Linked DNA regions of Schizosaccharomyces pombe. The protein of the gene in region 3 interacts with the protein of the main gene of each other region in a pairwise test. Each region holds a gene or a part of one and is shown on either strand. Other genes may lie near its edges. The genes, in order: rmn1, spo7, spg4 and SPOM_SPBC609.01.

Evidence for each region.
Region 1: the proteins of spg4 (region 3) and rmn1 interact in a two-hybrid assay, tested with the Schizosaccharomyces pombe proteins (one large-scale study listed by BioGRID).
Region 2: the proteins of spg4 (region 3) and spo7 interact in a two-hybrid assay, tested with the Schizosaccharomyces pombe proteins (one large-scale study listed by BioGRID).
Region 4: the proteins of spg4 (region 3) and SPOM_SPBC609.01 interact in a two-hybrid assay, tested with the Schizosaccharomyces pombe proteins (one large-scale study listed by BioGRID).

What each region holds. Positions count from the first base shown.
Region 1 is NC_003423.3:487,583-493,592, forward strand, and holds rmn1 (MTREC (exosome adaptor) complex RNA-binding subunit Rmn1), read left to right. Parts: upstream 1-2,273; 5' UTR 2,274-2,299; coding exon 2,300-2,329; exon of another isoform or gene 2,330-2,367; coding exon 2,368-2,405; exon of another isoform or gene 2,406-2,495; coding exon 2,496-4,038; intron 4,039-4,092; coding exon 4,093-4,251; 3' UTR 4,252-4,579; downstream 4,580-6,010. Other genes in the region: protein phosphatase regulator Nem2, read left to right, coding at 648-1,190; idh2 (isocitrate dehydrogenase (NAD+) subunit 2), read right to left, coding at 4,580-4,686, 4,737-5,501, 5,656-5,704, 5,752-5,898, 6,002-6,010.
Region 2 is NC_003424.3:3,245,340-3,254,331, reverse strand, and holds spo7 (ArfGEF Spo7), read right to left. Parts: upstream 6,574-8,992; 5' UTR 5,735-6,573; coding exon 1,778-5,734; 3' UTR 1,451-1,777; downstream 1-1,450. Other genes in the region: pcd1 (coenzyme A diphosphatase), read right to left, coding at 1-819; histone H3.3 H4 heterotetramer chaperone Rtt106, read left to right, coding at 6,625-6,706, 6,752-7,375, 7,420-7,844. UniProt on the Schizosaccharomyces pombe protein: Appears to have a role in sporulation.
Region 3 is NC_003424.3:3,479,993-3,486,567, reverse strand, and holds spg4 (AAA domain-containing protein), read right to left. Parts: upstream 5,012-6,575; 5' UTR 4,660-5,011; coding exon 2,434-4,659; 3' UTR 1,963-2,433; downstream 1-1,962. Other genes in the region: hrb1 (RNA-binding and mRNA export factor), read right to left, coding at 66-512, 594-986, 1,085-1,186, 1,226-1,327, 1,503-1,832, 1,870-1,890; tps1 (alpha,alpha-trehalose-phosphate synthase (UDP-forming)), read right to left, coding at 5,713-6,575.
Region 4 is NC_003423.3:3,153,191-3,162,640, reverse strand, and holds SPOM_SPBC609.01 (Dis3-like exonuclease family protein), read right to left. Parts: upstream 6,513-9,450; 5' UTR 5,045-6,512; coding exon 4,924-5,044; exon of another isoform or gene 4,782-4,923; coding exon 1,429-4,781; 3' UTR 1,025-1,428; downstream 1-1,024. Other genes in the region: phosphatidylinositol-3,4,5-trisphosphate3-phosphatase Ptn1, read right to left, coding at 1-818; rpl3602 (60S ribosomal protein L36), read right to left, coding at 8,765-8,842, 8,918-9,139.

The DNA.
Region 1 (6,010 bases), on a different chromosome or scaffold from region 3:
ATTTATATATGATCTTTTCGCCAACGTGTTTAAACTAGGGGAGTTTAATTGCTAAATCGGCTAAAAAACTACAATGTAAAAACTTGGCCTATATATTTTTATCCAAACATAAGATTTTTTAAATACAGAATTGATATCTGAGCAGTCATTTAGTAAAAAGATGTCAGTAAAAGCTTTCTAATCCATTGGTCGGAACTTTTTAAGACTTTGATGTTTACCAAATAATGAACACAGTTAACACTCCCTCACTATATTTTGCATCGTTATACAGTATACCAACGTTTACTATCGTTTACTATAGCACATATCGAAGTAGACAGCTGCACACTATTGATATTATAGCTATCGGCGCGTAGCTTTGACATTGACTTTTAGAATCTGCCATCCGATTGATACTTGAATCAGCAAATTAGAAGGGCTGTTCTTTTATTGTTTTAGAATCATCGGCTTGTACTATTACTAATTGAATTAGTTCTTATGTTACGCACATATCTCATTCTGTGGTCTTCATAACGACTTCTTGTAATTGGTGTTGGATATTGTCCAATTATTGTTATCTCCAAAAAGCTTTCTTATATTCTGTTTTTCAAGTTCTTTATATCTTTTTATTCTTTTTCCTACGTATTGTTAAGAGTGAATAAAATGCCATGTCCTCTTATGTGCCCAACACCCTGTCCGTATATCACAACTTGTTAATTTTAGAGGCATCGTTTCGGAAAACATACCTACAGCTTCAAGTTCGTCGTCAAAAGTATATGGCTTTCTATGTCTCACTATTGGTGTGGAACTTTTACTTTGGCTATCGCGTCTTTTATCGCATCTCAAAATACTCGTTGATTGATTTGACTTACAAACTTTGTCTTTTATGCGGAATTGTTACACTTTTGCTCTTTTATTTTTCTGGATTGTATCGGACTACAATAGTATATCCATCACGTTATGTTCAACAAGTCAACAAAGCGATGAGGTTTTTTAACATTCGCCTTGTTATAACTCCTGTCCCGTGGTTCCAGGTGAGAAAGCCTTTGGATTGTGGTGTCCATCTTATATTATCAAGCAAACGATTTGACATATTGGTGATCGAAGGTTGGGAAGCTTTTCGTTCTTCATATTTTGCTTCAATACATAGAAAAAACAATAGCATACAGAGTAACGAGTCCTCTGAATCTCCTTCTTCTAAACAGAACTAGATTTACTTATACCCTTATCCTATTTATAAAGGATGCGATCGTTTATTTCCTTTTCAACGTTGTTAATGCTTTTCATGTTTATACTGTTCTAGTATTTGTCATTTTTCATAACGTAAATTTTGATTAAAATTTTCAGCTATTTTTTTTTTTGCTATCCGTTGTTGCTGGCGCCTTTCGCTATATTATTGATCAGTTATTGTCGTTATACTTTTATTACATACTTACCCGATTTGAATTTATTAGGATACTTTTAAGGACATTTCCTTTTATGTTGGGATATGAGATTGCTTTACAGACCCACTGAAATAGGATTTATCGTTGGATAATTAAAAAAAGGATGTTGATGATTCATTACACATCTTGATCATTTACTTGCCTCATCTTAATTGGAAGGGTTTAAATAAAGGCTTAATTGAAAGTTGCTGTCACTTAACTTCCTTATCTTGTTCTGTCAACTTAAACTATTATCTTTCATTCCCGACTTATAATCTTTCTTTTCTTTCTACATCACCTTTTTTTTTAAAAAATGGGTAAAAAGCGTTTTCGCATGTACATAAGCAAAACTTCTTCTCTTCTTATGTAGAGACTTCCTTTTTTTTTAATTTTCAACTTACTCATGCGGACTATACCGGACGTTCATTAGCTCTCTTGACGAGTTAGGTTTTCAAATAATTTAATATAAATGTAATCACTCCACCGTTAAAATTAACTATTTATAAGTGGTGCTAAAATATAAAAAAGTGCATATAGCTAACACGTTTACTCACTGTTGTGCTGACAATTTAATCAATGAAATAATTGGAGACAAGTGAACTCTTTCGAAACTCTCATAATCGTCAGAGTTTGACTTAAAATACATTGTATATTAGTAGTCTAAATACGAGTAATATTATGCAAACCTTCCTATTCCTTATCTAATGTCGACTACTCAGTTAAATTTTATCCCAGCCAATTGCCCTAGCTAAGACATTTGTTATTATTTTGGTATTATGTTTATTCTTTTTGAACTTTCTGGCTAATTGTTAAAGATTTTACCTTATGTGATCTATATTTTCTTACTGGCTCAACCATGCGTAACGCTCCAACAACCAGCACTTTGCTCCATCACAATGCCGTTGTTCTTAGAAGAACATGCTGAGGTAATTTTATTTTTAAGATGCCGAATTAACGCTTTTAGTATTTGAAAAGATATTTAGAACAGGCGTTGGAGCCAATGTATGTAATTTTTTTTGAGTTGCCAATTTGCGTGATTTTTTTTTTTACACGCTAAAAAATTGTTTATCAATATGCTAACGAAATGACTAGTTCTGATGCTGATGCAAGTGTTTTATCAGATTATGCTATGGCATTGTTAAGGCACGATTCTTCTGAAGAAGAAGTTCGCCAGTTATGCTACTCACAACTAGAAGATTTTTTGCGACAGGAGACAATTCCTTTTGTTGATAAAATTTTTGATGTTTTACGTGAAAAATCTTACTTGGAGGGTGCTTCAAATATGCCGTCAACCGGTATGGTGACTGAAGAAGTTTCAAGGTATTCGCCAACTTCATCAATGATCCCTGCCACCAACAGCATGGAAACCAATTTTAATAATTCTTTACCTGCTGTAGGAAAAACAAACACTTTTCCCTCTCAGGTGCCTAATATGTTTGGACCTCCGTTGTACCATCCAGCAGCCACAGCACCTTCTGAATTCATGCCCAGTATTCCTGGGTTTGGAAACTTACCAAATCCTGCAATGCCTCCCATACCATTCTTACCATTTAATCCTGCGGCGCAGCCTCCTTTCCCTCCCCCATTTAAGATGCGAGGTAAAAGAGGATTTGGCATGCGCCATGAGCATAATAGTGAACTTCGTAGGCATTCTCCTGGTAATCGAAGATTTAATCCATACAAAGCGTATCCCCAACCCCATCTGGGACATCGCTTCTCTCGTAACGCTGGCAATGATCCAACAAGTACTGCTTTAGAAGTGCGAAACATTCCGGAAGAGCATTTTAATGAGGAGAACATTAGGTCCTTTTTTTCAAAGTTCGGTGTATTGGAGAAAGTCGAATTAAATCCGACACATCATTCTTGTGTGTTAGAATTCACTTCCCATGAGGCTGCCAACAATGCTTGGTCCTCGCCTGAGCCCATATTTAACAATCGCTTTATTAAAATATTTTGGTATAATCCGTCAAAGGGATTTCACAATCGACCAAAGAAGTTTGCATCCCATAAATCTCCCACTACTTCCGATTCGTCGAATGTAGAGAGTTCTGAAGATGTCGATCCTGCTTCTTTGTTACAAAACGAAGAGTTTCATAAACTGATTGAAGAAAGGCAAAGGCAGCACGAAGAACGTTTAAAACGCATAAATGCTAATAAAAAGGCACTAGAAGAACTTAACCAAAAAAAGCGCGAGCTTGCACAGCAACAATTAAAAGAACAAGAGTTACTGATGCAAAAAATTAAGGAAACTGACCGTTCAGGAAACAAAAGACTCATGTTGTTAGAAACTCAGCATTCTCTTTTGAAGGCTGAGGCTGATTGCTTAGGGTTACCTGTGAGCAACGTTTCTGAAAGCCCAGCGGCATCTAATGGTTCTCATCATCCTTACGCTTCAGGACTTCCCCAGCGAGGTACCAACACATTTTTCCGTGGCAGAGGTCGCGGACGAGGTGATATGTTTGCGTCAATGTCCATCGATAATCGTCCAACTAAGCTTCGTGTAATAAATGTTTCTCCTGAAAAAAATGAAGCTTTGTTGCAATACTTATTCACTGTTGGAGGATATGAGGAAATTACTGAACCTTCAACTACTGAACGTCTTATCAGTTTTCAGAATAGAAATTCCGCTGAAAAGGTATGTAGCTGATTCTTTCTCTGACAGAAAAAATTTCAAGTTAACAAATTTTAGTTTTTTGGTGGAGTTCGGAACGTTGAAAAACTTCAAGAATTGGAGTTGGCGTGGGTGCCAAAAACAGCTGTTACAACTAATACTACATCCATGGAGACTGGCGAATCTAATACAAGCGACAACATGAACATAGAGGTAGAAGAAGGAAGATGGCGCTAGTTTATTTACTTTTACAAAAGTTTTTCAGAGAATGAATTAATGGGCTGCATTGTATGCGGCTGTCATAAAATATAAGCAACTAATTGATTAATCTTATAGAGTGCAATAAGCATTTCAAAAATGGAGATTTCATATTGAAATATTTGTAACTAACATTTCGATCAATTCGGTTTTTTGATACAAAAGAGTTAATGCTTCCGAATTACAACTCAAATCGTTACACAATTCATTAAAAGTGGTAACAAAAATCGGCTAGGAGAGAAAACTCATGATAAGGAAAGAAACATAAATTCAGTGTTCATAGCAAGAAGTAAACAAAATGGGCATGTTACTTCAGTTTAGAAATAATGGCATCGGTATATTGAACATTGTTTGACTTGCCGCCCAAATCCTTGGTGCGAGCATCGGGATTGTTTGCAAGGGTATCAAAGATAGCTAATGGTAATTAGTAAACAGACAAAATCTTAATTTAGTAAAACACATACCTGATTCGATGCGTTTGGCATAATCATTTAAATTCATGTGCTTCAACATCATTACAGAAGATAACAGTAAAGCAGTAGGGTTGGCTAAACCTTTTCCAGCAATATCAGGGGCAGTACCATGAACAGCTTCAAAGATGGAAGCTTGGTTGCCAATGTTTCCGGAAGGAGTCAAACCAAGACCGCCAATTAAACCAGCGCACATATCAGAAACAATATCACCGTATAAATTGGGCATAACCATAACTGTGTTGTTATAAGGGACAGGATCGGTGACAATCTTCAAGCAGGCGTTATCCAAGATTTCCTCCCTAAGCTCGATATCAGGATATTCAGGTGCAAGCTCCTTGGCGCATTCCAAAAATAAACCGTCAGCCATGCGCATAATGGTAGCCTTGTGGACTACGGTGATGTTGTTCTTGCCAGTTTGGCGAGCATATTGGAATGCATAACGAATAACACGCTCAGATGCTGCGCGAGTAATTAATTTAATCGATTGAACAACGCCTGGTATAACTTCATGCTCGATGCCTGAGTATTCACCCTCAGTGTTCTCACGAATCAAAACGGTATTAACGTTATCATAAGGTGTTTTGTATCCCGTAATAGATACACAGGGACGAACATTGGCAAACAAGCCGAAAGTACGACGCAAAGTAAGGTTCATAGAAACATGACCCTTCCCAATTGGGGTTGCCAATGGACCTTTCAAAGCCACTTTATTTTTCCTAACAGATTCCTTAGCATCATCAGGAATAGTAGTAGTACCTAAACGAATTAGTAAACGTGATTTTCGTGCGCGATAATCTCGAGGAGACATGGAAGGACTTGACAAGCAGGAACAAGCATTGCTGACAAAAACGTATAAAAGAAAGGCCAAACTGCATACAAATCCAACCATCTTCTCTTATACTTGACATACCATTTTTCAAAATAGGATATACTTTTACACGTTCCCATTCGATAGGGACCTACAATACAAGTCGTTAATGACTAAATGACGGATGACTCGACAAACCTTTGCAGCCTTAAATATACGTTCTACAGACTGAGCAATTTCTGGACCAATGCCATCGCCAGCAATCATCGTTACTGTGTAGTTCCCGTTGGCATTCTTTACTCCTTCATATGTCCCAGCGGCAGCCTTCGTTGAAGAAAATCTCTGCTAAAAATAACTCTGTTAATATAATCGATCAAATAATCATGAAAAGACGAGTAAGGCTGCTTAAACCAGCGATTTATCGCTTAGGAGCCAATTCACAACTTACAAAAGAGTA
Region 2 (8,992 bases), 230 kb from region 3:
AGAATTAAGATACATATTTAATATAACCGCTGTTATTCCCCAAATTCTTGGAATCTTATCAATGTTAAATTCGACATAAAGCAAATCCGTATTACGAAATCGAGATATCTTTTGGTGCTTGGGATTTAAAAAAGAGGTGAGAGGAACGTAAAATAAATCTTTCACTTCACCTGTCCCAAGTGAAGGAAGGGAGGTTTGCACCGAAAACGCAAGGTAAGCCCGAATCTCAGTCTTTTCATCTCTGGTGAATAATGGAGGGAAAGTAGTCAAGTAAGTAAAAAAATTAGGGAGGAATCCAATTTCCTCGTAAGTTTCTCTTAATGCCGCATAATAATGAGAACCGTCTGAAGGTTCCACACGGCCACCAGGAAAGCACATTTGTCCAGCATGAGAACGCAAGTTTGGAGAACGTTGCGTGAGTAGTAAAGAAGCTCCTTGAGAAGTGTTTACTAGAGGCATCAAAACAGATGCAAATCTCGTAGGCTGGTTAGTTGGTTTTAATGGTAAGGTGGGGCGATTTTTGTGTAATAGGTATATTTGATGAGAAAGAGAATCCATGGTCAAATCTCCGTTCTCGTTTACCACGCCATTACTCACCAATTTCTCAAGCGGCGACTGGTGAAGATAGGTTACATGGTGCGATTGACTGCTGAAATAATGCCTTTGGATGTATTTAATAGCTTCAAAACAAACTTGATTGTTTAAAATACTATTTCTTTTTGAAAAAGTATTCTTTAGAGGACTCCAAATAAAGCCTACCAAAGAGTTTTGCCTTGTTAAAAATCGTTGATGACCTTTCCAGCGGAGCTTTAGCTTCATAATTTGGGATTTCTTGTCCAACTCTGCGAATTCCGCTTTTCACCAGGCGTTGGAATGTAGAACTTCTAGCAATCTAAAATTGATTAGTACGTATATCTATTAAGATGAAGTCGTTTTATACCCTTGATGCGACGTAGGTGGAAAGTAACTCTACTATAATTCGTTGAATCATACAAAGTCAATAATAATTTAAAGGTAGAAGAATAATTATGAGTACGTTTTATCAATAGTGATTCTTTAAATATCGGGCAATTGTTAAACGCCTGCACAAAAGACGCGATATGTGCTCAGGTTATGTTAACCGTTAGCGCCCTCCATTGCGACGTGACTTTGCAAAGAAGGATTATGTAGAGTTTTATCTAAGCGAGAAAAAATTAATCAGAAATTAATGCTTAAAACAGTATTATAAATCAACGAAGGTGAAATATAAAAGTACTGCAATTTCTTTCTGTTTCTATAATTGCTTTATTCCTTATTAATTGCATACACCTCTACTCATATTGTTTTATTTCAAAATAGGTGAAACTTGGACTTTAGCATTCTGGTAGCTATAGCATGTATCCAAGTTCTCGCAAGCTGTTTGATTAAGTATCTAAGTAAAGTTACTATTGTAAGTTTAAAGCTAAAATGAGCGGTAACCAACGTAGTTATTCAGTTTCAACGAGCGCGTATTAAGGCATTTGAAATAATCCCATCGAAGCATATATTGCAATAATGAAATATTCTATAACTGGATGTTATCAGAAGTTTAAGCATAAAAAAATAATAAAATGACAAAAGATTTGTCAAATCTAAATAAAATCAAAATACTTTATTTGGAACTCTCGACAACTATTAACCCTCTTCTTCAGAAGCTAAAAAAAAGATATCTAAGTAGCATTCTCTCAATCGGAGGCCTAATGTCTTTTCATCACTCAAGTTTATTTATTCGTTTAACTACTTTGAATGAAATTTAATTTTATAATCCTTTAAAATCATAAGGATATCTTACAGGAGATAAAGTTGGGTAGAAATCATGGGATTTCCGATATTCGTACTCGCATTCCAAAACTCGCTGGTACTCTTTGTACATCATTGATCGTTCATATAGAAACTTCATCTTTCTATTCCAATTATCCATTGCTTTGAGGTAATTTTTAGATCCGGCGGCAAAACATTTCTCCATTTTTTCAGGCAAAGACTGGAAAAGAAGGCAGGTTTCCAGTAAAGAAGGAACACAATCTCGTAAAATATGAACCTTATCACGCAGTGGACGAGGAATGTCTTGTAATCCTTGAATGTCCATTGGACTCCACCGTGTTAATTGAGCCAGGTCACCGACAAAGGTCTTGGTTCCATCAGCAGCAGTATAATAAGCCTTTTTCTCAGCTCTTGTTAAAATGTACCCCCAACCATATTCAGTGTTTGTAATATTTTCTGGTAGAGGAGGGCAAGTAATCATGGCTGCATTAAAATTTAAAGAATGAATCCATTCGTTCATCGCTAATACGCTGGGCGCTTCAAAAAGATAGCACTCATTTCCTGGAATATTTAGATAAAAGACATTATTGCGATTAGAATTAATTGATGGAGGTAAATTGGGAGATGCCAAGCAAGATTGCAAGCCAAATTCTCTATGGATGGGGCTAACATTTGAGCAAGCATTTGGATCTAAATGATCTGACTTATAAAAGATTAGTTTTCCACTATCGACAATACAGTACTTTTTCTTCCAATAACCTGCTACCCATCTATTGTTTTTGCTTAAAACCATTTTCTTATATGAAATCATGCCTCGTCGGTGCCATGGTAACCTGTTATGAGTCTTTTCTTCTTGCATATGATGAGTGTAATTAAACACCGAAAAATGTGGTCTACCATCTATAACTGATGGTTCAGGAAGATCAATCTCCTTTCCTGCGTAAATTCCTCCATTCTCTTCATTCAAAACAAACGAAGATTCCTTAAAAGCATCACTTTCAAGACTCGTGCTGTTTTTGTTTCCAGAACTCTCCTGCTTTAGTAATTTTGAACTTTTCATTAATTCAGATATCAGAGATGATCGATTCCTTTTGGGAGTCAAATCACCTCTTACTTGGTTGTGCAACTGTGCTTGCACGGCATTTGGTACTGCAAATGGAGACTTCAGAAACGTATCATAATATTCTTTTAGCATGCATTCAAGTATGAAACCGATATCGCTTGGTAAATTGCTCCACGTTGAGAAAAGCAATTTGGCAAACGTTGATCGGTTCTTCTTATATTTGAGCCAATGCTTTTTGTCCTCCTTCGACAAAATACAAACTGAATCTGGAGATATGAGAGGACGAAGTTTCTCGAGAGCATATTTCACAAAAGTTTCCATCGGAACGACATAAGAATTGAGCTTTTTAGAATAGGTTGATTTATGTAAATCAATTAAAATCAATACTATTTTAACAATAATGTCTTCATTTAAAAACCCATAATTACTATTTTGCTTAAGCCAACAAGATGCGAAGACTTGCAAAATAGGAGAGTGTATGTAATCATCCGAGCCATAGTAAAGATCACAGCATAATTTTTGAAAGGAAGCGTAAACATTTAAACTTGAAAAGTCATAGTGTGATATGAATTTTACATACACATTTTCATATTCAGATCCCAAACTAGCAAACCAATCTGTAAAATTGTACGACAATAGCTGCTTCTCTAGCAAATTCCGTAAGCAATTGGATAAATTAATGGGGTCCTTAAACTCTGAATTGTGACATACCTCGAACAATTTCAGTTGAGAACGGTCGTGTAAATTCAAAATAGTTAAAAGTGATCGTGGAACTTTAATTCTTGGATTGTTTTTAAATTCCAAAGAATTGGGAGTTGCTATTTCTTCGGAATTGAGATCACTCTTGCTATCACTTATAAGCAAAAACTCTTCTTTAAACTTTGAAGCGCTCAGACCTTCGTTAGCAAACGTTTCATCTTCATAATCTTGTAGGAACGTTTCCTGAATATCCATAGTTTTGACATCTGGATTCACAAAAACTTTTTCGCCAACCTGCTGACTATTTATGCGTGAATTGCGTAAATTGCGCATCTTGCGAATTTCTTCAGCTGCGTTTTCATGGTGAACTGACTGAGACTTAATCTGACTTTGCAATTGTTGAATATAGCTACGTTCATCATGACTAAGATGCTCTCGGTCATCCAATAGTAATTTTGAAATTGAAACTAGACCTTCGGGGGTTTTGGGTGAAGAAAACCGATTTTCACGCAACATTATTTCGTTTGTAATACCAACCTCCGAAAGCACTGAATAATACGCAACCAACGATTGTTTTAAGCAAGAAATCTGCTTTAGTGGTATTCTTTGGAATCTTGAATAAACTAACGCAAATTGGTGTTCCGCGATGTCTAAAGGGTATTTCCTGAGCAAAAGTTTTGCTAATTTGCAAAAATATAGGCGGTCAGAAAGATTTTCAAGTAAATACATTTTGGGATCAGCATTAGCAAGCTCATTTTTAGTGTTAAGTTTCGATACCTGTATACGACTATTGATTTTGTGTTCAGTAGCGTTCAAAGTTCTTGGATGAGGGTTCAACTCTAAATTTTTTTCCATTTTTATGCTCGGGTGTACATTACCATTTCCAGCTAGACACGCTCTCTCAATTTTTGAAATAACTTTCTCTGATGGATTAACTACCTTAGATATGCTGGAATGGGATGTCGGTTCAACATTGTTTATCGATTGTGGCATGTAAATATTTCCTAGTTGTTTGGCTAGTTGTTTAACATGACCCTTGGGAGGAGCCTCAGATGTCGGTGCCTTTGTTGTAGGAGCCTTTGTTGTAGGAGACTCTGCTGCAGCCAATGCTTGTGGTTGTACTGAATTAGAATCTTGGTTCATTAGTAGCGCAGTCTTTTCCCTTATCACTTGCAAAAACTTCTGAGAAGTTGTCAGAACTGAATCACCGACTGACACTTTTGGTGGTACTTCCATTGAACCATTTTTAGCAGCAAATAGGTTTATAGCTTCCTTTATTCTGTTACATTTTCTGGTGGAAGCCCGATAATTAGGACCTAAATTAAAGGGATTCTCTTCTAAAGCATTTGTAGTATGCCCTTTAGATAAATTTGAAACATAGTCCCTTTTTCTATTTCTCTCCCTAGCTAGCTCGATCCTTGCTCTAACATTTTCCCCGGAATACTTCCCCTGAATCCTCCTCTTAGCAGATAAACTAATTTTTTTTGAAGGAAATATTTCCTGAGGAAAATTGGTAACGACTATCGGAGGCGGCGTTCTTTGGCGCTTTTTAGAAGATGGAAGTTCTTCTTCATAATCTTTCAAATCACGTTTTAATGAGTAAGAACCAGAGGAAGCTCGTACGCCGTTGCCGAACATGGATTGAGAAGGATGAGAGTTTACGGGTTCACTAAATATTCGTTTAGGCTGAAGGCTTAAATCAGAAAGTTCACCATTTGTTCGAGGACGCCGGGTTTTAATAAACGATTCTTTGTTGCTTAACTTGCTTTTAACGTTAAACATATGATTGTTTTCAGCCAAGATTTTCTCAGACTCCACAGAATTGGCATTGGAATTGAGAAAAGAGCGACGATGACTTATAAATTCCTGAATCTGCTTCAAGCGTGTCCTTCTCTGAGAAGATTTGTCTTCTCCAGAAATATTTTCCGTTTTGCTTTTAGCGCCTTCCGTATGCAAATTTTCTTGACAAATTATTCCCTTTGATTCCTCAAGTTTGCAAAAATCGGTTGTAACTTTAGACCGCTTCAACTTCGAAAGCAACGCTGAATGCTTTTGGCCGGAAGTATAGGTAGGCTTTGATTCTCTCACAGGACGACAAGTGATGCGACTATCATTGCACGATTCCAACTTTGCAATTTTTTCCGAAACACTTAAGCTTGTTGGGGAAGATCCTTCTGTTATTCTAAAATCCATTCTACCTTTTTCGTGGATAATTATACAATTGATTAAAAGAAATTAATAGTTATGTCGGAAGAACGCTTAAAAAATACAATATGAATATAGGAATTCTTTCAATCGGTTGATCGCGAAAGCAATTAGGATAATTATGTAAGTTTTGTAAGGACAATTATCAAAATTGTTTCCTTAAATATTTATACAAACCGTCAGTTTTGAGGGAGGTTGAGGGTAAAGGAAAAATAGGCAAAACAAATAGCTTATGTCTTAAAACACCTCATTGCATTAGACCTAGCGAACAAACTATTTGTTTACGTTTGTAAATGTCAACACACGTTGATTACATCGGGAACAACATAAACCAATAAAACGAATTTTAGGATCATTTAATAATTTCTTTGACAAAATCGAAACAATAACAACTTTAAGGGAAACCATATCCGATTATAGGAGCAACAATCTGACCTTCCCAATGCTGAAGAAAGCTAATCAGTTCTACAGCTGAAATTTATCTATAGATCGCAAAAAGAATCAAAGGGAAAATCGATATCGTTTCACAAAATGTTCCCAACTTTTTTGGACTTTTCATACGAAAGTAACTGATACGATAATAGAATGAGTTTTTATCTCATTTATGTAAAATGACTACCTTTGTTGAGTAAAATTGAGCAATTATAAATTAAGCATATTCATATTGATCCATAAAATAAAAATTTGTTGCTAACATAAAGTCAACAGCGAACCGAAGTTTGAACGTAACCACTTGGGATAAAATTTTTATTGGATCGAAATCATTTGCATGATAATGGAAATAGTTGCTATTACATTTGTTACTGTTAGCTGAGGTGTGGTGTGCTGTCGAAGCCCTTGTTTAAGACTCAATAAATTCTAGCCGGCAGCCATCTCTAATGGAGTCCAACGTGAACGATGAAATAGAAAAGGCATTTGCCAAAGATTCTGAGTTAGCAAAAGATATAATCAAACAATATGGTAAGGTTTGAGTACATGCTTTTTTCCTTAGTCTAATGAAATTAGGGAAAACAAAAAGTATACAGCCTCTAGTGCATCGAATTTGCAAGTACATCAATACATTGCAAAAGGAAAACGAATCAGGCCAAGTGAAGGAGGCTGGAAGTTTAAAACGAAAGGATCGTGTTCAACATGAGTTAGGTCAATTGGTCTATGGAGTACTTAATCTATCGTTTCAGGCACCTATGCGAAAAAAGCTAGACGTCTACATTTATGAAAATGGAATAGCAGTAACATTACCAGGCGAACCCAATTTAATTGAATTTTGGCTTCCCTGGAATGAAATTCGTTGTGCAATCCATGTCCCATGTCCAAGGAAAGCTAATGTTCAAAACAACTTTGTGATCATCCTTAAAAGTGAATCGTCGGCAGAAAATATTGTTTCAAGTGATAATGTAAAAGAACCTGTCTTTTTTACGGCACCGTATCCTTTGAAAAAGCTCAACCTCGTTGAAGGTTTACGATCCTTCACCCACTGCACGAACTCATGGGATATTTTTCGCGATTACTTTGAGTTTATTGGCACTAGTACTTTGTCTCCTTCTGTCGAAGAATTTGTTTGTCCAAACCCGCAAACGGGGGACAATGGCACGACATATGGGGTTGAAGCAAACTATAAAGCTAAAGATGGTATGCAAAGGATGAATTCTGTGTCAAAATTGCTAATCAAATAGGGCATTTATTTTTTCTGCGTACTGGCATACTATGGGGCTTCCGTAAACCTATACTTTTCATTGAACTAGCTAGCATCCAGCATTTTTCCTATAGTAATGTTTTGCAACGAACATTTACAGTTAATTTTGAAGCTGGTGGTACAATATATTCATTCGATATGGTTGATCAAAGTGTCTTTAGAGCAGTAAATGATTACGCGACAAAGCATGGACTAATGGACTCCAGTCTTGCTGAAGAAAAAGCTGCACCAGTCCCTAAAAATCCATCTGTTTCATATTTGAATGAGGCATCATCTCTTGAAAATGTTGATGATATGGATGATATTGATGTTAAAGAACCTTTATTCTCTGATAACGACGAGGATGTCGAAAACAGCGACAGCGAGGACGGTAGCGAATCTATCGGTTCAGAGGACGAAGAATAGAAAGTTGAATGTACATAAATTTTTTTCTGTTTTATTTATTACCAGTTTGTTTTAATTTAAGGATTTAAATAAATTTAAAGTCTTCTAGCAAAAGGTTATCTGTGAGCTATCCAAATTTGTTTTAGACTCAAGTTATACACAAAGTTGTCGCAGGATACATTTTTTGTTGATAGTTTAAAAAGTGTGGATCTGGACTTTGTGTGCTAATCAATAGATTTACGCTCCCACTTGTTTGAGTTTTCTCAAAAATTACCCGACCAACATGTAAATATTTTCTATAATACTAATTTATGAAAATTCCTAATTACCTTATTCGATCTGCCGCTCTTAAAAAAGGTATATAATGTAAATAGCGGTTATTTAAAGTTCCTGATGTTCATTTTAACAGAAGGGTAGCTGAGTTTAAGCAAGAATTACCTGAACTGCCCATAATTTAATTCACAATTAGCATAAATCTTTAAAAACTCTTTCACGAGATTTTTTAATTATTTTTTTCAAAAAAAAAGACGACTATAAGTAACTAATTGTTTAATTTTTTACATTAGTTTTTTTCTTTGTCAATAAATTACTAAAATCTTTTTCTGAATGTAAGAAATTAAATAATTTAACAATATATCAACTCATCGACTGTTATTGAAGGATCTTCTTCTTAAAAAGAAAGAAAATTAATTTAAGACAATAGAAATGTTTTTGATTGATATTAATGATTAGCTCTTCTAAAATGCTGTTGCAATTTATCTAATCATTATTTATTTACATTTTAGTTAAAAAGCTATGTTCATAACGTACGGTAAAAAAAATAGGTGACACTTACGCAGTTCAGTGTCTTTTTTAACGATACGTAAAACCCGGTGATAATTCTTGTGACCTATTATATTATAATAAGTAGGTTAATAAGCGCTGACCAATGTAGGTATTATATATATGGGTCAAACTGTTACCTGTCACTAAATAGTGCTTATTACTGTACCTCGTTTCTCAGTTAAGTTGTAACTCTATTTATAATCTTACTGATAATTTTTCTAGAAAAATATCCTAGTAAATAAGAGGATAATGTCCGCAATGATCAATACGCGGATCTAACTGGTATTCTAATATATGACATATAGTGATGAATACCCTAATGTAATATAGCGTAGTGTAGTATT
Region 3 (6,575 bases):
CATTCACACTACGGAAATGTGCTTAATTGTAAAGAGAAAAGAAGTTCAGATGTATTGGCGAATTTTTAAGAAGGCTCCAAAGAATGTTCAATATTATTTTCGGGTAAAGCTACAGAAATAGGAGCAATAGCGGGCATGTTTGCAACGGGCATTGAAATCGGTAGATAGCCTAAGAAAGAATTTGTAAAAGATTGGGGCGTTAGTGGTGAATTCGTTGTAGGGATATGCATAACAGGTGGTGTATAAGCGACTGAAGGAAGACCCGAGAGCACAGTAGGGACAGCAGGTAGTGGAGTCGCATAGTGAGCGTATGATAATTGCAAGGGTCTCCCGCCATAACGATAACCATTTAATTTTTCAATTGAGGATGCTGCATCATTTTCATTCTCAAATTGAACGACACCGAAACCTTTAGATCGGCCAGTGGGCTCATAGGCGATTCGGGCACGAATGACTGAGCCAATATCTGTGAATAGGTCCAATAAATTGCGATCTGAGGTGGCCCAAGGTAACTATATTCAGTCAGTAATCTCCAAAAAAAACTTAAAATGATGCGGAAAACTAATCCCACAAAAGCGTCCTTATATACATACATTTCCAACGTAAATGCAATCCGAGCAGGGTCCATGGGGATACGCATGATAAACTAAATCCTCGACTTGAGTATTAGCACCTAACATGGGTAGATAGGTGGATGATGTAGTCATTTGCATTTCCGCTGGAAACGTATAGCCATTTCCATGAGTGGAATACGGCTTACTTTTATGATGTGCAAACCGATCTAGGCGAACTTCTAAAGTGCGGCCCATGAAATCAGTGTTATGCAACATTTGAATGGCATGCATGGCTTCTTTCATCGAACTCATGACAACAATCCCAATGCCACGGGATCGGCCTTCTTGGTTCATTTGGATATCAGCTCGGATAACAGAACCAGCTTGTCTAAACAAATCCTTTAAATCTTGCCAGCGAACGTTATACGGTAACTATACTCGTTAGTACCATTTCTTATTTGCAATTCCACAATTCATTAAAATACCAAAGTTCGAGGAAAAGAATATAGAGGATTAGAAATTGAACTTACGTTACCAACAAACAATTGCCTGTCTGGCTCAGAATCTTTGCCATTCGACGACGCGCTAGGCGATACTGAAGAGGAGCCAAATCTTGCATTTTGTTCTCGATCCTTTACGAAGGTTAATAAGCGACATAAAAAAAATCTTACTTCACGGATATAAACAAGACGGCCCATAAATTTTTGGTTGCTCAGAGTTTTAATTGCCGTGCGCGCTTCTTCAGCAGTAGAGTACTCAATTATCGCGCATCCCTGATATATTAGCTAGACTATTCACAATCTGAGTATACGACAAATTTTAGGATAAGCTATAGGCCATAAGTAATCGTTTAAAAGTAACGTTCAATTGGATCGATTCAACGTTACAATTTAAATAGACAATGATTTACTAGTCGCATGAAACCCACCCTCTATGAAGCAAACTTACCTTCGATAATCCATTCGGAAGATTCAAAATCTCACAATTAAGAACATTGCCAACTTGTCCCATAAACTCTTTCAACTCAAACCAACGAACTTGATATGACAAATTACCAACATACACGCGACGCTCTTGTTGAGTGTACTTTTGGCCATTTCCCAAGTGAGGGTCTCTTTCAGTGTGCTCTCCATCAAAATGCAAGCCACGTTTCAATGAATTGCTTCCGTTGACATGTCGCTTCGGAGACTCCGATCTGTCACGATCCATATTGGAAGACGATGAATTCAAGGAACTTGACACATCCAACTTACTACCCATTCCTGAATCAAATTCATTCTATTTGATCAGCTAAATCAATCAATAGTTATCATACCCATTCTATAGGTTTAGGCATCGCAAGAGCATAAGCTGAGTGTGCATCTTCACATAATTAAAGCATCCCAACAACTTGACTTCTATAGTGTAACTGCAATATAATTTCGTAAGTGATATACTGTAAACTCTTAGATTCGCTAAAAGAACAATAGAATAAAAAAACTGTAAACATTTAAATTATAAATATTGACATGTACTGACTAATTAATCATAGTAAGGAGTTTTAGTTGTTTGTAAATGAGTCGTAATAAAAATGGAAACTCAAACAATAACTAGGGTTAGAGATAACCTCAGTTAATATTAAGTGTTTGAAAAATTCAAAGACTGTGCATAAATTGTATCAACAAAAAAGAGACAAACGAATATATTAGGAGTAAACAAAAAGGCTTTTGGTACAGCACCATTATTATCATCATGAATAATTCCTTGAGGCAAAAGTTGTCCTTATTAGTTATAATCATAAGTTTGCACAAGCCATGTATTAAAAGACAATAAATAAATTTTCAACGTGATTACCAAAAAAATCGGTATCAGGCTAGGAATTTTAAATAAGAAGACAGACTCAATGCCCTTGGGATCCGAACTCTTTGTCCCATTCTGAATATCGTTCCAGCCCTTGCAAGTTCACACTAGGCCGGATTACCTTGATACTAGTTTTAAAGTCATCTAAATTAATCGGCCTAATCGACTCCATTTTCGTGAATAGCAAAGACTCACCTAAACTTCGCAAAGGCCCCATAGCTGCGTCTTTTGCCAATGCTGTCAAATCAGAGCCAGAGTAATATTCGGTTGCTTTCACAATAGCCTCAATATCCTCTAAGGAAAGAGAATGCTTCTGATATTTTAAAAGGTTATTTAAATGTAAGCGACGAGTGGTCTCATCAGGGAGGGGAATGTAGGTACGACGGACAAATCGTCTACGAGCAGCATCGTCGATACACCAAGGCAAATTGGTAGCGGCAAGCACTAGAACTCTTGGGTGATCGGCGGTTTGTCGAGATGCAGCTGCTCTTGCAAGCGAAGACCACTGAATTAAGAATTCTGTTTTTATTCTTCTCGATGTTTCATGCTCATTTCCATCACTGCTTCTAGCAGAAAGCAGTGAATCAATTTCGTCAACAAAAATGATGCTTGGAGACAGCTTTTTTGCTAAAGTGAAGAGAGCACGAACAAGTTTTTCGGATTCACCCAAAAACTTGGATGTTAAACTAGAAGCTGAAATAGAAAAAAAGACAGAACGGGATTCAGTAGCAACAGCTCGCGCAAGCATTGTCTTACCAGTTCCTGGAGGCCCAAAAAGAAGCATCCCCCTAGCTGGTTCCCGCAAGCCTTGGAACAAATCTGGACGCAAGAACGGATACACCACTGCCTCTTTTAAAGAGTGCTTAGCAAATTCTAACCCAGAAATATCATCCCAATGAACTTCATCACCCGAAACCACGATTTCTCGAAGTATACTCTTACCAAGCTCTTCGTCGATGTCTGGACATTCACGCAGAATTTGTTCTTGCTTTTCAGAAGTCATTGCAGAGATAGATGTGGATTGAAACTGCTTTTCAATAATCTCTTCTTCGTTTGTGTGGTTGAAAAATTCATCGCCATCAACCGGCGAATCTTTCTCTTCACAGGAAGAAAGCCCCTGTTCGGAAGCTGGATAGAGATCACTCAGAAAAGGGTTGTTCACAGATAAACGTGGCGGTGTAAGGAAATCCAGATCTTGCGCAGTTTCAGTGGAAGCAGATTGAGCTCGTGGAGCTGACTGAGGAGTGGGAGATGGCGATTTTGTAACTGACGAAACAGAAGCGAGAGATGGCGCGACGGTTGCGATTGAGGTAGATGACTTTGATAACTGTTTTGATATAGAAGGTACTTCAGTGGTACGATTAGGGAGATGGGATTGCGTTTTCTTTTTGAAGGGTGAGGAAGAGGAGGAAATAGAAGAGTAAGTTCGGCGGGCAGCTTCAATAACGGCGGAGTTATCGGGAGTTGGACGATGACGCTCAACCTGAAACGATGATCGAGATGCCTGCGCTGCTTCCGATGATATGTATGATGGCGGGAGAGCATGCTTAGGCTTAGATGAATTCAAAGATCCCCAAGCCAATAGAGCTGCTCGATTGGCATTGTTCTGGGTAGAGACTTCAGCTGGAAGTCCAGTCCTAGCAAGCGATTTACTTGGAGGAAGCACTGATTTACTCTTGACACTGGCCTTTTTAGCAGATTTAACAGCGCTATGTGTTTCTAGTTCACCAGCGCCTTTACGCAACGAAGTCCGCGAAGCTGTAGGTGAAGAGGACATAGATGTTCGCGGAATATTAGGTTTTAAGGATGCCGTTGTCACTTTAGATTGTAAAGGAGCTGTTCTATTTTGACGCTCAAAAGAAGACGCACTATAGTTACCATCATCGATAAATGAGCGATCGCCAGGACCATTTCCACTTATATAAGCAACATTAGCGCTACCAGTAGAAGATTGTGTTACAAGTGACTTTTGTGTATTTTGAATATCCTTATAAGCAGCTTCTTGTTGCGCAATCTCTTTGGTAAGGAACTCAATTCGAATGGTCAACTGCTCCAACATGCAGAGTAATGTTTCCACATAATGTCTATCTTCATAATCCATCACGTGTAAGCGTTCCCTCGCATACTTAAACTCTGGATTCATGAGAATGTTCCGCTTGGCCTTTTGAAATAAAGCGATAGCCTCCACATAGTCAGCAGTCTGCTCTTTATGAATTGCAACGGCGGCATATGACTGTGTGACGTTATAGCAGTCTTCAAGGCTCATTTTTGTGCATTCTTTAACGTCTACAACTGATTAAAAACAATTACCTTTCAATGGAAAGAGGTTAAATCGGCTCGATTGGAAACGTTATTCTCTTTCTATATTGGCTGAAGTGCACAAACTACACTTCTCCTTTTATATCCTATTACCTTATTAAATATTGTTTTCGTACAAGCAGAATGCGGCATGCAAATACAAATCGTAGATATAGTGATACAAAGTTAAAGATAAAATTTCTCACTAAAACCACGATTTTGTCGGAAAACTTGATAAAGTCTACAAAAATAAATACAAAACTAGCAACAGCACTAATTATATGCGTGAATAGAAGTTCTATGATATACGCACTGTGCTTGTTGAGTTTTAAATCTTTACGGTTGGTTTTGGTGTAGCGAAGAATAATGATGGGTAAATGACGCATCTTCATCATTTACACAAAAAAACTCTTTTTGCTATATGAGAATTGAAAATTAGTTTACTTACAATAAATAATACCTTTAAAACCATTTCACTATTAATCTTAATATTTGCTTGGTCCAACTCCGTTCACCAGTCCAGCATATTCTCATCCTTACTTATAAGATATATTAGTCACAATCTTCCACGTGTATCCCAAAAAAAATGTATAAAAATAATATTAATTGAATGTTACAGGATTTTTAAGGTTAAATAACAAAACATTTATTCTTTTTGCCATCATGTTCAATATAAAACCAAAGGAAATTACAAAGAACAACACTTCATAAAAAAATTGTCGAATACTTGTCTAACAAATTTCCATCATCAGCAAATACTCAAACCACCATAAGCTGATTGGAATTTCTGCATATAAAAAAATCATTAAAGAACGTTGCATTATATCATGTATTGTGAATTCATCTCAATAAAAAAAGTGCCAGTATAAACAACATCCTTTGTATCGTAAACTGCTAACTCATCGAATATATATGACCAAATGATTTAATTGCTTTGAGAATGAAATTATAGAAGTAAAAGTGTAAAAGTGCAACAACTTGATTAATGGGAAAACAAACCAATAGTGTTGCTAATGCACTCTTACGAGCTAGAATTCATCGACAGCACTTGAGCAGACTTGGTTCGTAAAATCGGATTCGTTCTTCTGGGGTGAGGGTGGCTGTAGTGTTGAATGCGTTGCAACTCACCGACAAAGCTTTGACCCCAGAATTGACTGGTATACTTATTAACATATCGGAATAATTTATTCTCATTAGCCTCACGTTGTTTCTCCGGCATAGTGAGGGCATCATGAATGGAGTTTGCTAATTCCTCCGTGTTCCATGGATTAATTACAATACTACCATTGAGTGACTGGGCAGCACCGGCAAATTCACTAAGAATTAGGGCACCATGTCTCTCTTGTTGAGTGCAAATGTACTCGTATGAAACAAGATTCATACCATCACGAGTTGAGGTAATTAAACAAACGTCTGAAACGTTATACAGAGCAACCAGCTCTTCAAAGCGAACACTTTTATGTAAGAAATGAATAGGTGTATATTCAACAGTACCAAAACGACCGTTAATACGGCCAACAAGCTCATTGACAACGGCTCTAAGATTCTGATACTCTTCGACATCTTGACGAGAAGGAACGGCAACTTGAACCAACACGACCTTTCCAACCCATTCAGGGTATTGTTCTAAGAACACTTCAAAGGCATGGAATTTTTGGGGAACACCCTTAATGTAGTCCAAACGATCGACACCCACAATCACCTTAACGCCTTGTAGTCTACGTTCGATGCTTGCAATGCGATCCTTTACCACGTCAGACTTCAGAGCATCAGAGAACTTTTCGGGATCAATACCGATGGGGAAGGTGCCGACGCTGACCATTTGACCATTGTATTCCACACCGTTAGGTAGTGTGCTAAGATTAAGGATACGAGAGCATGCAG
Region 4 (9,450 bases), on a different chromosome or scaffold from region 3:
ACTCTGAGCAAAAGGTCTTTCTCCGATGTTTCTAGGTTGCATTGTATCCCCCATATACGTTTTCCTTCTTTTATGCTTACATTATGGGATGATATATCTGAACTCTTCCACAGAGCAACTGGATTTATGTTTCGTCCCTTAGAGAAGGCATGCAATGATAGAATCAAAGATGAATTTTTTTTAATATTCAAACATTTAAAACTTTTAAAAAAAGTGGTACCAGTATTAAATTCCACAGCTTTCAAATAATTCGGGAACTGTTTTAAAATTTCGATATAATAGACGTAACGTATTTGCGATGAAATGGTAAGACCGTGCCCTCGAACCATTCTTTTTTCAGTATATAGTTCAAGACTTTGCTTGGCTGTCAAGCCTCCGAAAGCTACCAAGTAGCTACATATTACAGTTCCTGTACGTCCTTTTCCGGCCTTACAATGAACTACCAATGTCAACAAAGGTTGCGTTTGAAAGAGTGCATCCATATTCATAACAATAGCCCATAAAAAGAGAAGCGGAGGTGGATTATGATCTTGAAATCCATAATTTATGACATTTGGTTTAAATAATTCCAAATGGTAAACTGTTTCTTCGGCACATAAATTCAACAATATCCAGTTGTCTTTCAATTGCGTTGTAAGATATTTAAATACATCCAATTCGTCGTTTCGATATAACTTATGTATTCCAGCAGCCGGTGTAGACATAGCAATTACCTTGGAAGTAATATAAACCATATCTAAGTAAGCAAAGCTACGATTCACTTTTTCTTGTTTGAGGCCTTTTCGACCCCTCGAAACTACTGATCGAAGTATATTCATGGAAAATTACATGTTTAATTAGTTATTTGTAATATACTAGGATAATACTGCAGATGCCGTTGACTGTTGAAATATGAGGTAAGCTGCACTGTTCAGAAGAAAATAAGAGAAATACAATAAAGATTTTAGTAATGAACTTTAAGCGGGTAGGTATCAACCATAGTGACGTGAATAAATAACTAATTTACTTTTAATTATTTATATATTTTGATAGCAATGATTTGATAATCCATTTTATTGAAAAAAACATAAGGGCATAACTTTTCCCTTTAAACGATGCAAAAGTATTACTAGTAAAAAAAAATAATAAAGAAATAAAAAAAAAAAAATGAGAAAAATGAATAAAAAAAGCCAATAAGAAATACAATCGTAAGACATGAACCGTAAATAAGCATTAAAATATTTTGATAAAAATCCTTAAAAACATTTAAGTCCACCAAAAAACAAACAAACCCATGCGATTATTCGAATCCTCTAAAATAAATCCAAAACGTTTAGGTAAAAAGAAATAAGTGGTAGAAGTATATAACGTTAGACATATGCAATTAATCATACATTAAAAATAAATCGTGAGGCATACACATTAGCGAAGATCACCAGTTATTGAAGATTAACTGGATAGAGGACTTTGTAAAGTAATTAACGAGAGTGAGTAAGTAGCGGAAGTATCAGCAAATATAAGTACACTAACCTCTTGGCCTGGACGGATGGTTTGAACAACCTCAGGCTCTTTCATACGTAAACTATGAAGTTTTCCATCTCCGGAAATATCCTGATTGCCAGAGGAACTTTTAGCTGTTTTACTAGTACTGTCATTGCCTCGAGCCTTTGAATAGAAAGACTCCTGGGACTCAGCAGCGTTAGCTAAATCCCGAACCTGTGCATCCATCATATCGCATATTTGTTTGCACATCCCGTTGGAATCCAAAAATTTTTTCTTAAAGTCATTGAAACAAGGTGTATCAATTTCCAAAGAAGATGAAGCATAAAAGAAAGAAGCATTTGTCCTCCATGATAAATAGAGTTCGTGTTTTTGCTCATTAAAGTCGCAGTTACTAAGCGGTAGCAGATCCAAGGAGATCCTTCTTTCCAAGCCAAATTCGTATATGACTATGTCAATATACTCCTGGTCAACAGCCAAAACAAAAGCCTTATGCTTAACGAGCCCAGATCGTAAATTAATAGAATGGAGAAGTTGACATAAATATGCATGTAGACTTTTTTCCTGGGCATTACGGTAGAAGTTGCTCAGTGTGTTACAAGACTGAGTTATAGAAAGTAAACTTCTGTAGTCTTTGGAAAAGTCTGGTCTGCCATCAAAGGCTTCGCGTAATTGTCTCTGTACACATATATCGATATATCTACGAGTAGGGTGACAAAAATGGGTGTAGTAAGGACAAGAGAACACAAAATGCGAAACATCCTTAGCATTTGAAGTACCGATAGTGTATTCAGATTCATTACACATTCTTCTTAGAGTCAATTGTAGTAACATTTTGGTTCTCTTATCCTTGGTAGTTGCAATTTCGGTCATGATTTCCGAAGGAGTAGATGAAGCAGATAAATTCACTCCGGTTAACTCAGAAACTGCAACAAGAGATGCAAAGTCAGAAGGTCTTTGATTTTTTCGCAAAATCACTTTACTGGGAAAAACAGACATTAAATGAGATGCAACTTTCTCGTTTACCCAATGTTCAATTTGTTGTAAAGAACATGCAATAGGGAATGCCTCAAAAATACTCATGTTAATATTCTGTATATTAGGAATCTGCCCATCGCAAAATTCAAAGCAGTATAAGGATTGTAAGTCAAGTTTCTTATCTGTTTTCAATCTTAGTTTGGTAAGGACATGGGCCGATGCATCAACTAGCTGAAGCGCTTCGTTGGTTTGCAAGTTTGCTTGTGCACTTTCTAAACTAATAAAACTTGACGGGTGGATTACAGAGGGCCCAAGGGAACACTGTAAAACAGCGCCGCTTTTCAAATCAAGCTGTACAACTATACTAATTGTTAAACAATCATGTCCCTCTATAAGGGAAATCTCTTCTGAGACCTTTTTCGGTAAAAAGGGTACGGAACCTTGCAACAATTGTACTTCTGATACTCTATTGGCAGCTTCATCATCAAGAGGCATATCTTGCTTAACGTAATACGCGACGTCTGCAACGTGTATTCCAAGTGTGATGACTCCGTCGATGGAGCCTGTATCAATATGGAGAGCATAATCACGCGTTCCAATCATGAAGGTTAACTTATCTCGTAAATTGTATCGCTTTTGTAGCTCTTCTGCAGGGATAGGCGTAGGTAATCTTTTAACACAATGAGAAAGGGATTCAGGGAAGTCATATGTGTGGCAACTGAAATCGTGAAGAATTGCTTTGTACTCCACCTTGGGGTCCCCAATTGTTCCAATACTTTCATATAGCGTTCCAAAAGGATGCAAGGACGTAGTAGGCCATCTCTTGATGCCAGCCAAAAATACCTTATCCTTAAAATCGTCGTTATTTGTAAAAAAGGTAGGGGGTACTTGGTCACTAGATATAGCAATAAGAGGAATACGCTTGTCACTTGGTTTGAACCAAACAATTTTAGGGCCTTTTCCCGTTTCACCACTGGATGTGGATGAATTTCTTCGATGAGAGGACTGATTCTTCAAAGCAAGGCTATTGGGTCTATACAACGCTAAAGTGCCTGAGCAAGTTTCACCGCTAGGTCTGTTGAGTACAGCAACGACATGACCTGCGTATTTTGGAGCAGAATCGGGAGTAAGTGAAACATCGTCGACAAACGAAAGACTCTGGCCGGTTACCTCGTAATCGTTCTTCCGTTTCTCAATAGACCTTTCAAACGAAAGAACACCCCTATTCATTCCTAAAGCCATGGGTGTACTGATAGACATCATTTTTGCTTTACTGTTGACTGAATACTTAGAAGAACCAGAGAGGGATAGGTTACGGCGAATCTTCTTCTCCTCTTTCTCTCTCTTCGTTTGCATAATTTCATTAACATCCAAAAGTTCGACGGCTACCAAATCCCCTTCCAAAGTCCTATTTCTGTCCTTGGATCCGCAAATAAAAATAGGCTCGTCAAGCACGTCCGTAATAACGTATGCATCAGAACGATTTTTACGATTTATGTGAAGGGTCCCAACAAGCAACTTACCAGTACCAATGAACTTCGGAAGGGACGCTTGGGGAAGATAAGGAAGAAAAAGATTTTTGTGCTGTTGGGCAGCAGCAGAAACGGAGACCCGTTTTCCGCTACTGTTAAAATTTAAAAAGGAGCTTTGAGGAAGAGAAGCTCCATCAGATGAATGATTGATGTAGGATTGTTGAGAAGCATTTGACAAAGGGATTTGCGGAGCCTGTTGAAAAATCGGAGATTCAGGTTCAACGCTGTGTAAGCTTTCCTGCAAAGAATGCATAGACAAGGGAGACTCTAAAGGTGATTGCTGCCATTCCTGATTTCCATCTATAGGTTTCAAAGGCGTCAGGAAATTTGGATTTGAAGGCGAAACCGGAGAAAAAGGATCTGTACCAGCAGAAGAACGACGTCTTGTATGCGATGTAGCAGTCGAAACACCTGCTCCAGCTCGTTGTGGAGTTGTCTGCATCCCTTGAGTAAATGCTTCAAAAGACTCAGTTACCGGACTGAATATCGATTCCGCTCGATTCTTCATCACAGGGCTGGTGAGCTCTCCTACTGCAGGACCCATTGTACCAGTACCAGATTCATTGATAGGCTTGGAAAATTGCTGTGGAATTGAAGGATTAGGCTGTCTTGCTCCAATAGGTGCAAGCGGGTTTAATCTGGGCAACAATGTGTTCTCCCTTCGAGATTTTGAGAACGGACCGGATTGGAAAGGGAAAAAGTTTGGCTGTAAGTAATTCTCAGATTCAGAGAGAGATTGCTGCATTTGCAGTGCCTGTAAATACTCGATTTGAGATTGGATTACGTCTGGAGCTAAATAACTGAGTTAGTGATAAATACTCTGGTAGAAGAAAAAAGCTGAAGAATCTAGCAAGATGAAAAAAAAAAATTCAAAATTCAAAGAAAAACTTATTTCATAGTTGCAGGATACTTCATCGAACTTGACAAAACTTACCAACCCAAGGAAGATTACCAAACCTCTGAGCAGAGGAAGGTTTATTTGATTTGGGAGAGGCGGAAGGTGAAGGCTGTGTAGGAATGTTTGAAGAATCGTGTCTTTTCCAATGAGGATCCATTATTTTTTATTAGTTGAAATGAGTTGACCGTATCGTTATTGTTGATTTTTTTTTGAAAGACACTGTCTTAAACGAAGAAAGATGTTTACGGAAATTTAATATGTAGAGAGTGAAACAGAGACCAGACAAAAAAGTAAATCTATTCGATTTGCAAGTATTTCAAGGAAAACCAAAACAAAAACGATCAGAGGAAACGGTTTGAACGAAGGTTACAGTAGTCCTCGTCAATTATTGTGGGGACGCAGTAATGCAAAGAAACAAAAAAATGGAGAAGAAAGAAGGAGAGAGAGTATGAGATTGTGAAAAAGTATCTCGATACGCTGATGCTTTTGAATGTGCGCCTATTCACTGGGGAGTACAAGGACAATTCCTGTAGGAGAGATTGGCAGAGCGAAAACCCAAAGATTGTAGCAACAAACGAAACCAATATAGTACTGCTTTTTCCTCATACAAGATGACGGTGTTTCAACGTATCCAGATGAGAAAGGTGGTTTAGAGTATGTAAAGAGCAAAGACGATGACAGGTGGTAATTATGACGATGACAGAGGAAGTTAGTAATGTAGAGTATGAAAACACAAAAATGTAAGAAATAACAAAAAAAGGAGAAAAAGCAATGGATATGGTGGATCGTAAGCAGGAATGATCCAATTGATATGCAGTGAAGAGAAGCAAGCAAATGCGGTAACAGATGATGGAGTAAAATACAATGCTCGTTGAATGGAGTGTATGGAGAGCTTTCGTTAATTATCGTATATGACAAAATGAAACGGTGTCAATGAAACTTGAAGAAATAATGAATTTACCAAGCCAAACCCAACCAGGCCAAAAAGAAGAAGAAGAAGAAGACAAAAATTTACTAAAACAAACAACGAAGGAAAACTTGATTGACTTTTAAAGCAATTTTTTTTTTACAATAGCGCTAAAGCCAACATCCACCAAGTTTTGGATTATCTTTATGTACAAGAATGGAACGGAATCGAATGACGGTTGTAGCGATTTTCAACCAATTGGCACTGTCAATTGATGAGACAGGTGCTTAAAAAAGAGTAAAATGAGGTGGTCGCAAGTGTTAGGTAGGTGTTGTAGAGGCAACGAACCAAGGGCGATAAGACAAAAGAAGAAATGAAAACAAGAGGAAAAATCTTTACAAACCTGCTTTACCAGCAACAAGGTTTAAGCTGTTTTTCCGAGACGACGAGAATGACGGTAGCAAGGAAATAAAAAAGGGGCTCAAGTTTAACGTATAGCGACTTAAAAATTCAGGCGCCTGTTGAGGATTTTCCAAGAATCGAGCAAACTAAGAGCGTCGCCGATTTTTTTATGATTGGGGGAATTTGCCAGCCTAACCGAAAATGCGCAAGGTGGAAAAGATACGTATGTATGAAAGATGAGAATGTGAGTTGAATCAAGTTCCGAAAGCAAGATTAGTTACACGATGTAACGATGTTTGCTTAACAGTAGTGGGATGGACGCTAATGGATCACACACACTAATACTTAAGGATGATGAATCCCATAATGAAATAAGGCAACGCTCACTACTTTGGCCGCCGCCATCCGAAATCCAATAGCGAAACCGTAGATATTACGTAGACAGTAATTTTCGCATTATAGGTAATTTGATAGAGCGAAAAAGCGAGGCAAATTATGAAAACACAATGGGTTCAGTTTTGAGCGTACTGAACTCGAGCGATAACGACTACACTGAACAGAGCAACGCAGCAAGGCAGTAAGAGACATTTGAAAAAATGTCGAAGGGCATTGAGCTAACAAGAGGGAAAACAGGTGAAGAGCTTGAGTAGAAGTGGCAGAAACGGCGCAAAGAAGGAAAAAGCGTAGTATGAAATTAACCGATCATCCAAATATATCAACACTCTTTTTTCCATGAAAGAAAAATACTGGAAATCCCTTTCTTCGCATTACCATTTGACTGTAGTTTCCCTTCTAACGAAGGTTGCCATCAGTGCTCTCGTTAAATGTCGCAAACGGGTTAGCGATATCAAGTGACGTCAAAGCTGGTTGGTTGGTGTTGCGTCTTAAGGGTTCTCGCCATGACAATGATTGGCTGCAAGAAATTATGAAACAAGGTTAGATAACAAGCGAGATGGGATGGCAATGAAGGAAGAAAACCCGTCTTTGTTAGTTGCCCCCATCAGGTAGTTATGTGGCGGTCGTTGTCCCTTCCTTTAACTATAGACGGTTGCAGCTTTTATCCCCCACTTAGTGAATGTGTGGTGGCCACGGTCTTTTCCTAAAGAGCAGCAAGTGGTTAGTGTATGTACTAAAGTAAGTGTATAGCGCAGATGCAACTTTTTTTGAAAACCACTTCCACTTGAATTCAAGTAGTAATCAAAAGTAACATGAAAAGAATTCAAAACATCAGCTGAAAGTAAAAGCAATCAGTTTATATCCACTCCATATCTTGATTATCTGTATTTAGCTATGTATGGGATAATGTGATCGGCTCCAATATATGCTGGAAATGCGAAAACCAGTATATCGCTTTTTTGTTTACTTCCTTTATTTCTTTCCCAACTCTGTTTTCTTTTCCATTGTCATCGACTTGTCTACAAAAACGATTTCCTGTTTTTTCTAGCAACTTGATCATTCATAACAATTCAAGTAGCGTGCTACTCCAATGTGTAAGATCTACGAGTTACATGGAGGAAGACAAGTAAGGTGATTTACTGGTTGCCTAATTGTGGCCAACCCGAAGCTGTCCATGAACTCATCTTAAAATCAGCCATTAATGGATCCATGGTCGCTGGCAACATTGGATAATGAAATGGACTTGAATCGTAAGGCTAGTATAACGGGAGAGACAGAGTCACTGAATCAGTTTTGTAAAGAAATCGTTCCGTTCCTGTAAACTTTAATAACGAATTTGTAACATATCGGTAAAGATATGTAGGACTTTGTAAGGCGTTCTGATTTGAATGAGTAATGAATTAATAAACAATAAGACATTGTTGAAAGAGCTTTTTACAAAGGTAAATAAATCTCAACTTTGAGGTCTTAATAATTCAAGTGGAAAAAGGAACTATAAGGAAATACTTTCTTCGGAATAGGAAAGCATTAATCATTTGCACTTTTAACTTTCTCTTAAAATTCACTTTGCCCATCGGTAATTCCTCTGTTGATCTTAGGGGTTTTGGCACTTCTTCCCGTCGCAACTCATAAGTCACCTATTGAGTCAAAAGTAAACAGTATGTTTAAAACCGCATATTTTGTTAAATTACGTTTTAAAAAAGGAATCATAGCATTACAGGAATTTGCGGGAGTTCCTTGTATTTCGTTTATTTTTTTAAATTATTCTTAAATGCACGTAATCTAAGTTTACAAGTATAATTTACTACATGGTAAATAGTAACCTCCTATCGCCAAATCTAATTGCAAAGACATTCACTCAGTCTTTACACAAACAAAAGTTTGCAACAGTCATTCATGCATTTTATGTATTCTCCAAAATCGGTAAACCTTCTAGTATTGTAGGTTCTTCTACACTCCCATTTAGTTAATATGAAAAGCAAAAAAAAAAAAAAAACTGGTGTGATTGTACCAATTCTCAAATCCTTTGTAAGAATATGCCTTAAGCCAATAAAAGCACGATAATTATTCTTTTTGATAACTATTGAGAGTTACCATTTACCTCTCGTACACAACTACGCATCATAACAAGTTGATATTTGCTAAAGTAATTTTATTATATGGAAGACAAGTTTAATGGGCCAATCTGGAGCTCTGGATGACACTAGTGAGCTCTTCGATTTTACCCTTGGCACGCTTCAAAGTACCGAGCTAAAACCTGTTAGTATTCATTCACAAAATTAAAAAAAAAAAAATTAAATTAAATGCACTCAAAAGGTTACTTACTCTCTTCTTGGCAAGCTTGCGAGCACGCTTGTCTTGGGAGTTACGGATCAATTCCATGACACGGCGTTCATAAGGAGCAAATCCAGCAACTTCACGCACAATAGATCGGACGAAAGCAGTACGCTTGGACAAATGTCCCTTGCGGCGAGAAGGACGCTCAGGAAGTTGACGCTTAGTCAAAGTCTTTCCCTTGTTTAAACCAACAACCAGTCCAGGTGCCATCGTGTAAAGTCTACACTGTACCTACCGTCTGGAAAAAACTTTTGGTAGCATGGCGTGACTGTTTTCAACCAACCCTACCCTATCTTTTGAAATATTTGTGCCTTTGCCTAAGCAGGCAAAAACTCAATGTTTGTTTTGAATATTGAATATAGTTTTCATCCCAGGGCTACAGTTTTCATATGAAGTCTTTTTGTAATCATTTAGCCCTAATGAAAAAAATAAAATTTATGTAGAAATTATGTTTTGAAATCCAGTAAGTAACATTTAAATTGTTTGAGTTCACGTTTAAACCGTATTTTGTTGTTTTCTGT